Linked DNA regions of Oryzias latipes. The protein of the gene in region 1 purifies or fractionates together with the protein of each later gene. This does not show direct contact. Links are inferred from orthologs where the notes say so. Each region holds a gene or a part of one and is shown on either strand. Other genes may lie near its edges.

Evidence for each region. The genes of interacting proteins can lie anywhere in the genome.
Region 2: the proteins of nod2 (region 1) and E3 ubiquitin-protein ligase XIAP purify together in Homo sapiens (affinity purification with western blotting; 3 studies listed by BioGRID and IntAct, with this or other methods). This does not show direct contact. The link is inferred for Oryzias latipes from reciprocal best matches to the Homo sapiens genes NOD2 and XIAP.
Region 3: the proteins of nod2 (region 1) and ripk2 purify together in Homo sapiens (affinity purification with western blotting; 12 studies listed by BioGRID and IntAct, with this or other methods). This does not show direct contact. The link is inferred for Oryzias latipes from reciprocal best matches to the Homo sapiens genes NOD2 and RIPK2.

The regions. Positions count from the first base shown.
Region 1 is NC_019861.2:30,230,915-30,234,580, reverse strand, and holds the end of nod2 (nucleotide-binding oligomerization domain-containing protein 2), read left to right. Parts: coding exon 1-257; intron 258-942; coding exon 943-1,026; intron 1,027-1,102; coding exon 1,103-1,186; intron 1,187-1,258; coding exon 1,259-1,342; intron 1,343-1,426; coding exon 1,427-1,510; intron 1,511-1,629; coding exon 1,630-1,713; intron 1,714-1,809; coding exon 1,810-1,893; intron 1,894-2,042; coding exon 2,043-2,115; 3' UTR 2,116-3,034; downstream 3,035-3,666. UniProt on the Homo sapiens protein: Pattern recognition receptor (PRR) that detects bacterial peptidoglycan fragments and other danger signals and plays an important role in gastrointestinal immunity.
Region 2 is NC_019868.2:22,027,017-22,030,453, reverse strand, and holds the end of E3 ubiquitin-protein ligase XIAP, read right to left. Parts: intron 3,147-3,437; coding exon 3,068-3,146; intron 2,820-3,067; coding exon 2,780-2,819; intron 1,723-2,779; coding exon 1,529-1,722; 3' UTR 705-1,528; downstream 1-704.
Region 3 is NC_019875.2:13,793,002-13,795,941, reverse strand, and holds the end of ripk2 (receptor-interacting serine/threonine-protein kinase 2), read right to left. Parts: intron 2,520-2,940; coding exon 2,125-2,519; 3' UTR 705-2,124; downstream 1-704.

The DNA of each region.
Region 1 (3,666 bases):
TTGCCTCACTTTGTCTGGCTTATCAAGTGCATCTACGAGATGCAGGACAGCCAGATTGCTAAAGATGCTATGAGTAAGCTGGAGGTGGACCACCTAAAACTGACGTACTGTAATATTGGCCCTGTTGAATGCACTGCCCTCGCCTTTGTGCTCCAGCATTTAAAGAACCCTGTTGGTCTTAATCTGGACAACAACTCTGTGGGTGACGTTGGAGTGGAGCAGCTTCTTCCCTGCTTGCACATTTGTAGCTCCTTGTAGTAAGTAAAATGTATAAATCCCCCTTTTTTCATATTTTCATATTTGTGAGCTTAGAGGTTTGCAACCTGAGGCTGTGGAGCCACACGGGGCATTTTGGCTTTGAAGAAATACGAAACGTATCTGAATAAATAATGGTTATTTTTCAGTTAGTTTTGCAATTACAAGTATAGATTTTATTTACTTTTTATTGGATTCAACACAGATGTTGTCATATTTATATTTGATAGTAAGAGGAGAAAAAAGATGAAGGTGCACAATCATAAAAAAATATAAAATAATATAAAGTGTAATGACTGACTTACATTTTTTTAATGAAGTATATTTTCTGCAGCAAGAGGATTTTGTTTTTACACAGGATGTGACTTATTTTGAAAGGAACTGGGCTGTCGAAAAGGCAAAGTAGTTTAAACTGTTGTATGTAAAAAATTAACAAATACATATTTCTATTATTGTAAATAATTTGAAGTTTCATTTCTAAAAAATGACAACATCCACCATAAACAGTGAGTTTTTCTAAATGGTGAGGTGGGACTTGTCAGCTATTGTTGGTTAGGGTCTTTCAAGGTCAAAGGTTGCAGACCCCTGATATTGCTGGTAAATAAAACAAAGGTTACCTTTTGATGTCATTCAACATAAAAATGAGCATTTTAAAGTTTAACTCTGCATATTTTTTTCTGTTGTCAGCCTCAGAAATAACAACATTACAGATGAAGGTATTCGCAAACTGACTGACAAAGGTGTGCAGTGTGACAGCTTCCAGAAAATAGCGTATGTACTTTCAAACTGATCTCCAAGTCTGCTGTGTTGTCAAGTCTTCTCTTACTGTGACTTTGCGTTTTTCCAGCCTCTTCAACAACAGACTAACTGATGCTTGCACCCAGCACTTCTCCCACCTTCTGAAGACCAAGCAGAATTTCCTTGCTTTAAGGTGAGTTGCTGTTTGGATAGGCTGTGAATGGAGCAGAATAAAAGCTGATGCATCCAAACGTGTATTTTTCAGGCTGGGCAACAATAATATAACAGCCGATGGGGCAAAGCTGCTGGCAGAGGGACTGAAACAGAACGGCTCTCTCATGTATTTAGGGTAAACATTACTGGAAACATGTCTATTTACTGTCTTGCTGACATTTTTTTTTCTATACCAACGCTTTTTTGTTTGCATCAAAAGGCTTTGGGGAAATCGGATTGGTGATGAAGGAGCGGAGGTCATTGCCAATGCCTTAGAAAGCAGCACATCTCTGGTATGGCTCAGGTAATACTTGTATTTAAGATATGTATAAATGACATAACGAACCTGTACAATATGTGCATCATTTAAAAAAAAATGCCCATTGGCTTCATGGTTTATGAAAACTATGGATGCATTGGCAGCCTCGTGGGTAACGGTGTTGGAAGCACAGGGGCGTGTGCTCTCTCCAAGGTCATCAGGAACAGCCCATCACTGGAGGAGCTCTGGTAAATATCAAACACAGCTGCAATGTGAACAACAATTCCAGTTTTGTTGTCAATGCTATAACAATCAAAAACACGATTCTTGTTTGCTACCAAAAGGCTGACGGACAACTGCATAACCAGGACAGGGGTGGAATCTCTCATTGAAGCCTTGGAAAGTAACCCACGAGTGAAGTCAGTATGGTATGTTACAGCAACAGAACTGCACAGAGTTCTGCTGAATTGAATGTGGTCGGTTCTCTGGCGTGCTTCTATCCAATAAACTGTCTTTTAAATTTTCAAACACACTTGTTTGATATGTTTTGAAGACTTGTGTGTCCTTCCTCCTCCAGGTTAAGAGGCAATGAGCTCAGCTCTGAGGACGTTGCAGAATTAAATCAGCGAGAACCAAGGCTTCTTTTTTGATGTAATGTGCCTGTTATTGAAAAAACTACATATTTTTTGCAATGTAACTGCTACTCCTTACTGACGTACAACTGCCGTATGGATGAGCACACTTAAGAACCATGAATGACATTTGCACATCTTCACTTTCTTCCCTTTTTGGCTTAAAGTAACAGATCTCCCAGGCAAAATAAATCAACCTAAAACCTTACGTTTGAAGGAATTTTGTATGAGTTTACTACTAGCAGAGCTAGAACATTTCATAAGGGGTGGGGGGTAATTGTATCCGTTAATTAAAACAGTTTTATTTTTGTTATTATCAATAATAAAAACAGCAGTTCTTTTAGCTGAGGTGCAATTACTAATGAAAAAGCTTGTATTGATGATTTTAAATTTTGCCAATAACGATACTAGTCAAATATTAGAGAGGCAAAGCTTTTTGCCTCACTTTGACTTGTGAGATAAAAAAAGTAAAGTTTTTCTGTTTTTGTTTCTCAGTCCTGTTTACTTGACTTTGAATTGGTTTTTAAATGTAGATCAAACTAACTGCATGGGTTCTTAGGCAAAGATGCAACAACAAAACCTTCCAAATATTTTAGCATGTACCTCAAAAACTGAGCAGCTGCTGTACCTCACACTTTTAAGTTACATGTGTCTGAAGTGGGACTGAATTGGACAGAATTTGTAGCTTTTTTGCTGCCCCCCTGTCATTTAGTTCTCAAAAAATGCAACTCTCAGAAGCTATTTCACTTGGTTTTATTATAATTTCTTGTTGAATAACAGCTAATCTCGATGAAAATGCTGTTGCATTTGTTAAAGTTTTTATTCTATTTTGTTGTTCTCTTTTTTGTTTCCTTATGGCATAAGCTGTTGACTTTTGTGGGAGGTGTTTCTCATGTGGATGTCTTATCTGGTTTAATAAAAGTTAAAGTTAAAAAAATGCCTCTCTGATCTTTGCAAATTAGTACTAGAGCCAAACAAGCATGGGAAATAATCGATTTTCTTGAGTCATGTTTAAAGGATGGAGGTAGGGCTGCATGATGAGGAAAACGTGCGAAATGCGATATTAGTGATTAATATTGCGATGATGATATAACTTGCAGTATATGAACAAATATTTAAACAAGGAAATACATAATTTCCATTTCACTGCAACAGTGAACAAAAATATATTCCAAATGACCCACATAAAAAATCTAACATAAAAGGGCTCCATCCAATTGGTCTATGATATAAAGGAGTCTATTCGATTGGTCAAACACATAAAGGGATTTGTTTTTTTCATTAAATACTACAAACTGCCATAAGATTGTTTTAGCATATTTAAGGTAACCATGCATTGCCATTTTAACCGTCTTTAGCGATATGCATATTGCACAGCTTGATATTGCGATAACAATACATTTGCCATTTATTGTGCAGGCCAACAGAGGTATTTTAATTTAGTTTTGTAATCTACAACTGCCCTTCTTTAAAGAATAAAAGAGACCAGCCGTATTATTGATGGGAGAAAAAGCAAAACAAAGAGCTGGTTATGGTAGGAATATGTGGATTCTCTGATGACCGCATTAG
Region 2 (3,437 bases), on another chromosome or scaffold:
GTGGGTTCAATACCAGCTTTTAATCAAATCGGTCAGATGTTTCAAGTAAATTTAAATTCTTGGAGAATTAACCTGATGGTTGGCTGTACCTGGGGGAAGAAGCCGTTTGCCAGTGGCAGAAACATAATCTGTTTTTATGAATATTACCCAAATATGCCGCCCACCCGACAAAATGTAATGTCTTACAGAACAAAAAAAATACATAAAAGTCAAACTACAAAACAAGACTTAGCTAAAATATAAAAATGCAATCAAATCATTTAAAATAAATATTAAATTACCAAATTGACAGTTTCTAATTATTTTTTATTTAAAAATCCTAAAAAAATTCCATTCCAAATTAAAAAACTTGAACATCCAAGACAAATATTGTTTGAAAATGTGTCTGAAATTGTTTAAAATTGAAATGTGATGTTAAATCAAACAATAAAAAAAATGTAAATTCAGATGAAACCACCCAATTTAGAATTAAAATTAATTCAATATTTTTATATAATCAAAAATGATTGAAATTTAGATTTCTACCTGTTGTTTCTTCCCCAAAATATTCATTAAGATGATTAGAAAATAATTTCATAAGATAAAAAAAAAATTGTCATAGTTAAGGAACTTTTTTAATTAAAAAAACAGTTTTAGGGAAAAATGGAAGGTAAATAAAGACAAAAAAGTTATTTATTCACTGTTAATGAAAGCAATTGAATGAGTGACGTGTGAAACATCTCACCACACTGGAAGAGTCTTTATTAGTAGTGTTTTTAAAATTTTGCCTTTATGCATTAAAATATCTTTGACAAATAAAGAAAATAAATCAAAGTTTAAAAACTAAATATATGCTTGGGAACAGAAAACTAAAATAAGACAATTTCAAAGCTTTAAAGTTTAAATAAATGCATAGATAGAAACAGAAAACAAATGAAAACGTTACATTTTAAACAATAATAAGAAAAAATTATTGCTTCTAACAAAATCACCTGGATAGAATAATCCTTTATCCCCCAAACTACTGAAAAAATATTATTCAGATACATCTCTAATTCTGCAACATCAACTATCTTTACATATATTATAGTGCATGTTTGATGAATATAGCGTTATATTACATAGTCACTAATGGAATTTTCCTTTTTTTAAGTGGAGATTTGTGTAAAAAAAACAATGAATGAATTCCAGATCTTGGAGCACGGGGAATAGTTTTTATTCCGAGTCTGAAGAAAAAGCACTTTTTATGTTTAAAAACAACTTAAACCCTAAAAATCTTCAAGTTGGATGAAGAAATGCAGATATTGATGTTTTGTGAATGTTTCATCACTACAAACAAACAAATTTTCGTGTTTTCTTGCTGTGAAGAAAACGGCTGTTATATGTAAGTTCTTGCAAACCTGGTTTAGACAAACCTTTAGTTGTATTACTCTTTGTTTTTTCCACCTACATGCTCACAAAAAGCCATTTCTTCACAGACACCCACTTAAAAAATACGTCTCCATTGAAAGAATAGCAGCAACCATGTTAGACAAGAGTCTTTGGTTTCCTAAGCGATGAAGGTCCGGATTTTCTGTGCTATAGCTGCACAGCAGATGGGACACTGGTTGAGCTTATTGGAACACGCCTTGCAGCTGGCCAGATGTCCACATGGGATGAAGACGATGCACGCGTTCTCGTCTAGGCAGATTTTACAGCGCTTTTCCTGCCGCAGCTTCTCCAGCTCCTCTAGAGGGTTCTCAACTGAAAAAAGAAAGGGTTAGTTTTCCACGGTCCCAATTGTGACAATCTCTAACTGTAAGAGCCCAAGCAGGCCACAGGGGGGTGCAGCAGGGTCATGGTCTGGGCATCCTACTTTTTTTCTTTTTTTTTTTTAACTCTGCCGTACTGCTTAGACCATGCTTGAAAATTCAATGTTTTCTATTATTTGTCAGCCCAGTTCGTATGTAATTAATGTAAAATTGCAGAAGATAATGTTTTTTGACTTTTAATTTAACCCCAACAAATGACTGAGCTGAGGTCAGGGCTCTGCAACCTGAAGCTCTGGAGCTACATGTGGCTCTTTGACCCCTCCTTTGTGGCTCTCATATTGAAGAATACTAAAATGTTTTTCATTTTAAAAAGTAACATTCTTTAGACCATACGATACATCAATCAAAACAAAATCGTCTAACGTTTGAAACGATTTGACCACAGCAATTCAGCTGGAGGTCAGTAAACACAACCAGAATTCATACTTAAGGCACGCTGAGACTAGAAGAGATTATTATTGAACAAAATTCAACAATTGCAAGTGCGCCATAGGGTCAAAAATCTAGTTTCATTTTAGCTTGTTAGATTTTTACAAATTTCTGGCTGAGAGGTATAAACAACAATAAATTAAACAGTGTATAGTTGTTGTTTTTTAATCACTGCTGACATCCCAATTCCTACAACAACATTTGTTACATTAAGATGATCATATGTGGTACAGAGAGTCTTTTATCTTGAAAGGAAGTCATGTAAACCTCTGTTAAAAGTTCTCACTATTTCAAACAAATTTATCTTTATGACTGTTTTATTTCTGTGAAAAATCCACAACTTGATTTATATTTACAATAATAGTAACAATAACATGAATGCAAATCAGTGTCTTTTTATGGCTCCTACTGGGTTCCGGTAAGTGAAAAATTAACCTGATTGGCTCTACAAGTGCTGAAGGTTGCAGACCCCTGGCTTAGGTTCTCCTTCTCAAAAGGTTCAGCTAACTAATACCATAGTGTACATTTTTAGATTTAGATACATATCCAAGAATATTTACCTTTCTCCTCTTCAAAAAATCCATTTTGATGTTCTGAAGCCTGGAAACAAAAGGGTCACATCATCACTTTTTGTAAATCCTTTTGTCTGAACTCATGAGAAACGTCTAACAGCTTTTGTTTTAAACACACTCCCCCACCAACTCTTTAACAGAGAATAGGCTAGGCATAATACAAAATAAACCTTCTTTGTTTTATTTAAAAAAAAAAAAACAATTTCTACAAAAACTAGGGAAGTGAAGAAGCTTCAGAAACAGATTTCTTAAATGAGGGGAAATAATATGCCTTACCTGTTGTGAGTATTTAGGTTCTTGTAGCTGAATTGTATTAACAAACTCTTGGCCTTTTTCTGATAAAAGAAAGCTGCATCTAAAATGGAATTTAAAAAAAAGGATGTAAGATACATACATAAATACACTTACATCCCTTGTGCTATCCTAGGCACGTTAACGTTGGGAGTTGGGTCATCTAGACCCACTAGACAGTGAGCTGAACCTTTTTTCTTCAATGATTTGTGATCTTCACTGGTGTCTATGGATTACATGAAATCTTTCCACCTTTGTCCACCTTTGTCATGTAGGGAGAACACGTCAATGGCCATCTTGACCCCATAGGATAGCACAAGGGTTATACGAATACATAATCCTTCTTTTATGGGAA
Region 3 (2,940 bases), on another chromosome or scaffold:
ATGATAGAGAAAAGTGAAAAAACAAAAACGGATATGTGAATTTATCAAATGGTACAATCTCTTCTTTAAGACCAACAGTTTAAAATACTCAACGCCTTACCTCTTTCATTTTTACATGGTAGCCTGTGTTCTGCTCTGACATACTGTTTGCTGAGCAGGGCTGTACCAAAACTAGGAGTTAGCCACTTTAACCCTTGTGCTATCTTAGATGAATCCACCCATACATTGACGTGTTCTCCCTACCATGACAAAGGTGGATAAAGGTGGAAAGATTTAATGTCATCCATGGACACCAGTGAGGTTCACAAATCACTGAAGAAAAAAGGTTTAGCGCACTGTCTAGTGGGTCTAGATGACCCACCTCCCAATGTTAAAGTGCCTAGGATAGCACAAGGGTTAAAAACAAGACTCCAAGTTTGAGATTGGATTATTGGGTATTGGATTTCCGCTTTTCAAAATGACGGTCCAGTGTATATCCTGGACAACAAATAAAGCACCACTTTTCTTTTTTTTAATTTGCTAAACTCAAACATGATTTTCAAAGGAGATATTCTGTTACTTCCAAGTCATTCCACTAAAACATGCCCTTTTTTTTCCAAAAAGGGGAACTTAGGCAGGCCCCTGGTGTGAGTGGGTTCATATGGGTGCAGCCTAATGATTCCTGATTTGTTATTGCAGATAAAGAAAAAAAAGAATTGCAGAAATTACAAAGTGATCGATTCCCATTTAATGGAAGAAGTGACAGAATATTTGAAAAAAGGTCGCACTAGAAAATGCAACTTTACCTCAACAGACATCTTAGGTGTTAAACTACCACATAAAGATAAAGATGTACAACAATGTGGGTACAGTACAAAATATAATACAAGATACAAAGGCCGTCACAATGAGGCACAGAGTTTAAGGACACATCCAACACTTGGAAGCACAAAAAGCCTAATTTCTGTTGTCATTTCAGGGACTACGGATGGCTGAAAACCTGACGTTTGTCAGAGTGTGCACTTTAGTAACCAGTAATCCACATTTGAGCACGTTGGGAAAAGGCAAAGGTGGAAAACATTGTACACAGAAAAGCTACCGTTTGGAAATTTAAGCACCTCCTTTAAGAAGCAAAGGCATTGAAGACACCAGTAAGGCCCTCCATTGAAAGTGTTAAATATACTGCTTTGCCAGCCAATGAATAGAATAAACCTAACCTATTCTGCTTACTATTCCATTAAACCAAAACTCTTTTCCTAATGCTGTAACTTTGTTTTCCTTTGCTACATCTTAAAATAGACATCAAAAAGTGTATTATCTGTACAGATACTGGTGCTACTCTCTTAACTGTTCTTCTTTATGGAAGCCATCACTGTTTTATTAAAAAGGAGTTGTTCTTGTTATAATGGAAAACAAAACTTCAAGATGATTGGATTACAATTCCAGGAAAGTTTGCTACAAGAAAAGCAGTTTTGGCAACTTCCAAAAAGTTAGAGCCGATTAATAACGAAAAGTTTCTGGAAGAAAGAGGGCTCTAAAGTATCTGGGTGGGTGTCAAGCCTCAAAATGTGAGCATGAATAGAAATACTGAGAGGTTACTTCGTAATAAATACAGTAGTTATTGTGAGCTGCTTAACTTTGACACAAAAACCCCCAAACATTTTTGTCATATTCTTGAGATTCTTGTGAACACACTAATCGTCTTCTCTTCAGTAAAATTGAATTTGCACCAATATGATATATTTTCTAATGCAAACTGTGCACTTTACAGGTAAAGGGAGGTTTTATAAATGTTCATGTGAACTCATGGGAAAGTGCTGCCTTGAGATTGTACTCTGTCTGGGGTCTTTTCTTTACTGCAGGTTTGCCAGCAAAGTAACAGTCTCCATGGCGCTTCCTTTAGGCAAATGCACACGAGTATCTAAAAAGATGGGCCTTAATAAGAGAAAACACAAGGAAATAAAAAAAAAATGGAGTATAAATACAAAATCCATAACAATTTAAGATCATCAACTCATTCTGTATCTTTTGATTTTTACGGAAGGACAAAACCTACACCTTTATTGCTAACGACAACAGAACCAGGAAGGGTCAGCTGTGGTGCGACGACGCCATCATCGGTCCTCTGATTTGCTGCCACCTCTGCTAAAAGTTTCTGGGGATGTTGCAGGAGGTGGGCAGAGATGGAGCGCTTGGCACAGCAGCTGCAGAGGTGGGACAGCTGATGTCTGTGGGGTACGGGTTCAGGCCCATTTGCTTGTTGTCGAACAGCTTGCGGACGACAATGCGGCAGAAGTCCTCGTCGTGTTTGTGGCAGTTGTCCAGCAGCTGGCGGACTTTGGCGGTGCGCGTCGGCTGGTTGACCACCAGCTCGTAGTCCTCGCGCATCAGCATGGAGCGAGCCAGCAGCGCGTCCAAGCTTTGGTTGAGACAGGCCTCCGTCATCTGGGAGACGATCTGCACGCGCCGCATGGCGATCCAGCTGCTGATGGGGCCTTGTGACAGCGGGGGGGAGTGCGGCAGTGGAGGAGAGCAATCAGCTGAAAGAATGGAGAAAGCAGAGCCATTTGAGACAATCTGATAACCTACATTTGTTGTGCACTAAACTAAAAGAGAACGTCCAATAGTAGCTCCTCCCAGAACATTTGCAAGTCAGACTTGATAACTGAACTCCATCCATTTTCCAAACCTGCCTAATCCTTTTTATGGTAACAGTGTTGCTGGAGCCTATCCCAGACATTTTTGGGTTCATCCAGAACAGTTTACCAGCCTGTTGCAGAGTCACACAACAACAACACGCACACACTCTCACATCCACAAATAGGGACAATTTAGAGTCATCAATGAACCTAAAATGTTACATTTAGCTTCAAAAACAACAAAGACAATCACACATTTTATGTTTACCGTATTTTCCGGACTATAAGTCGCTCCAGAGTATAAGTCGCATCAGCCCAAAAA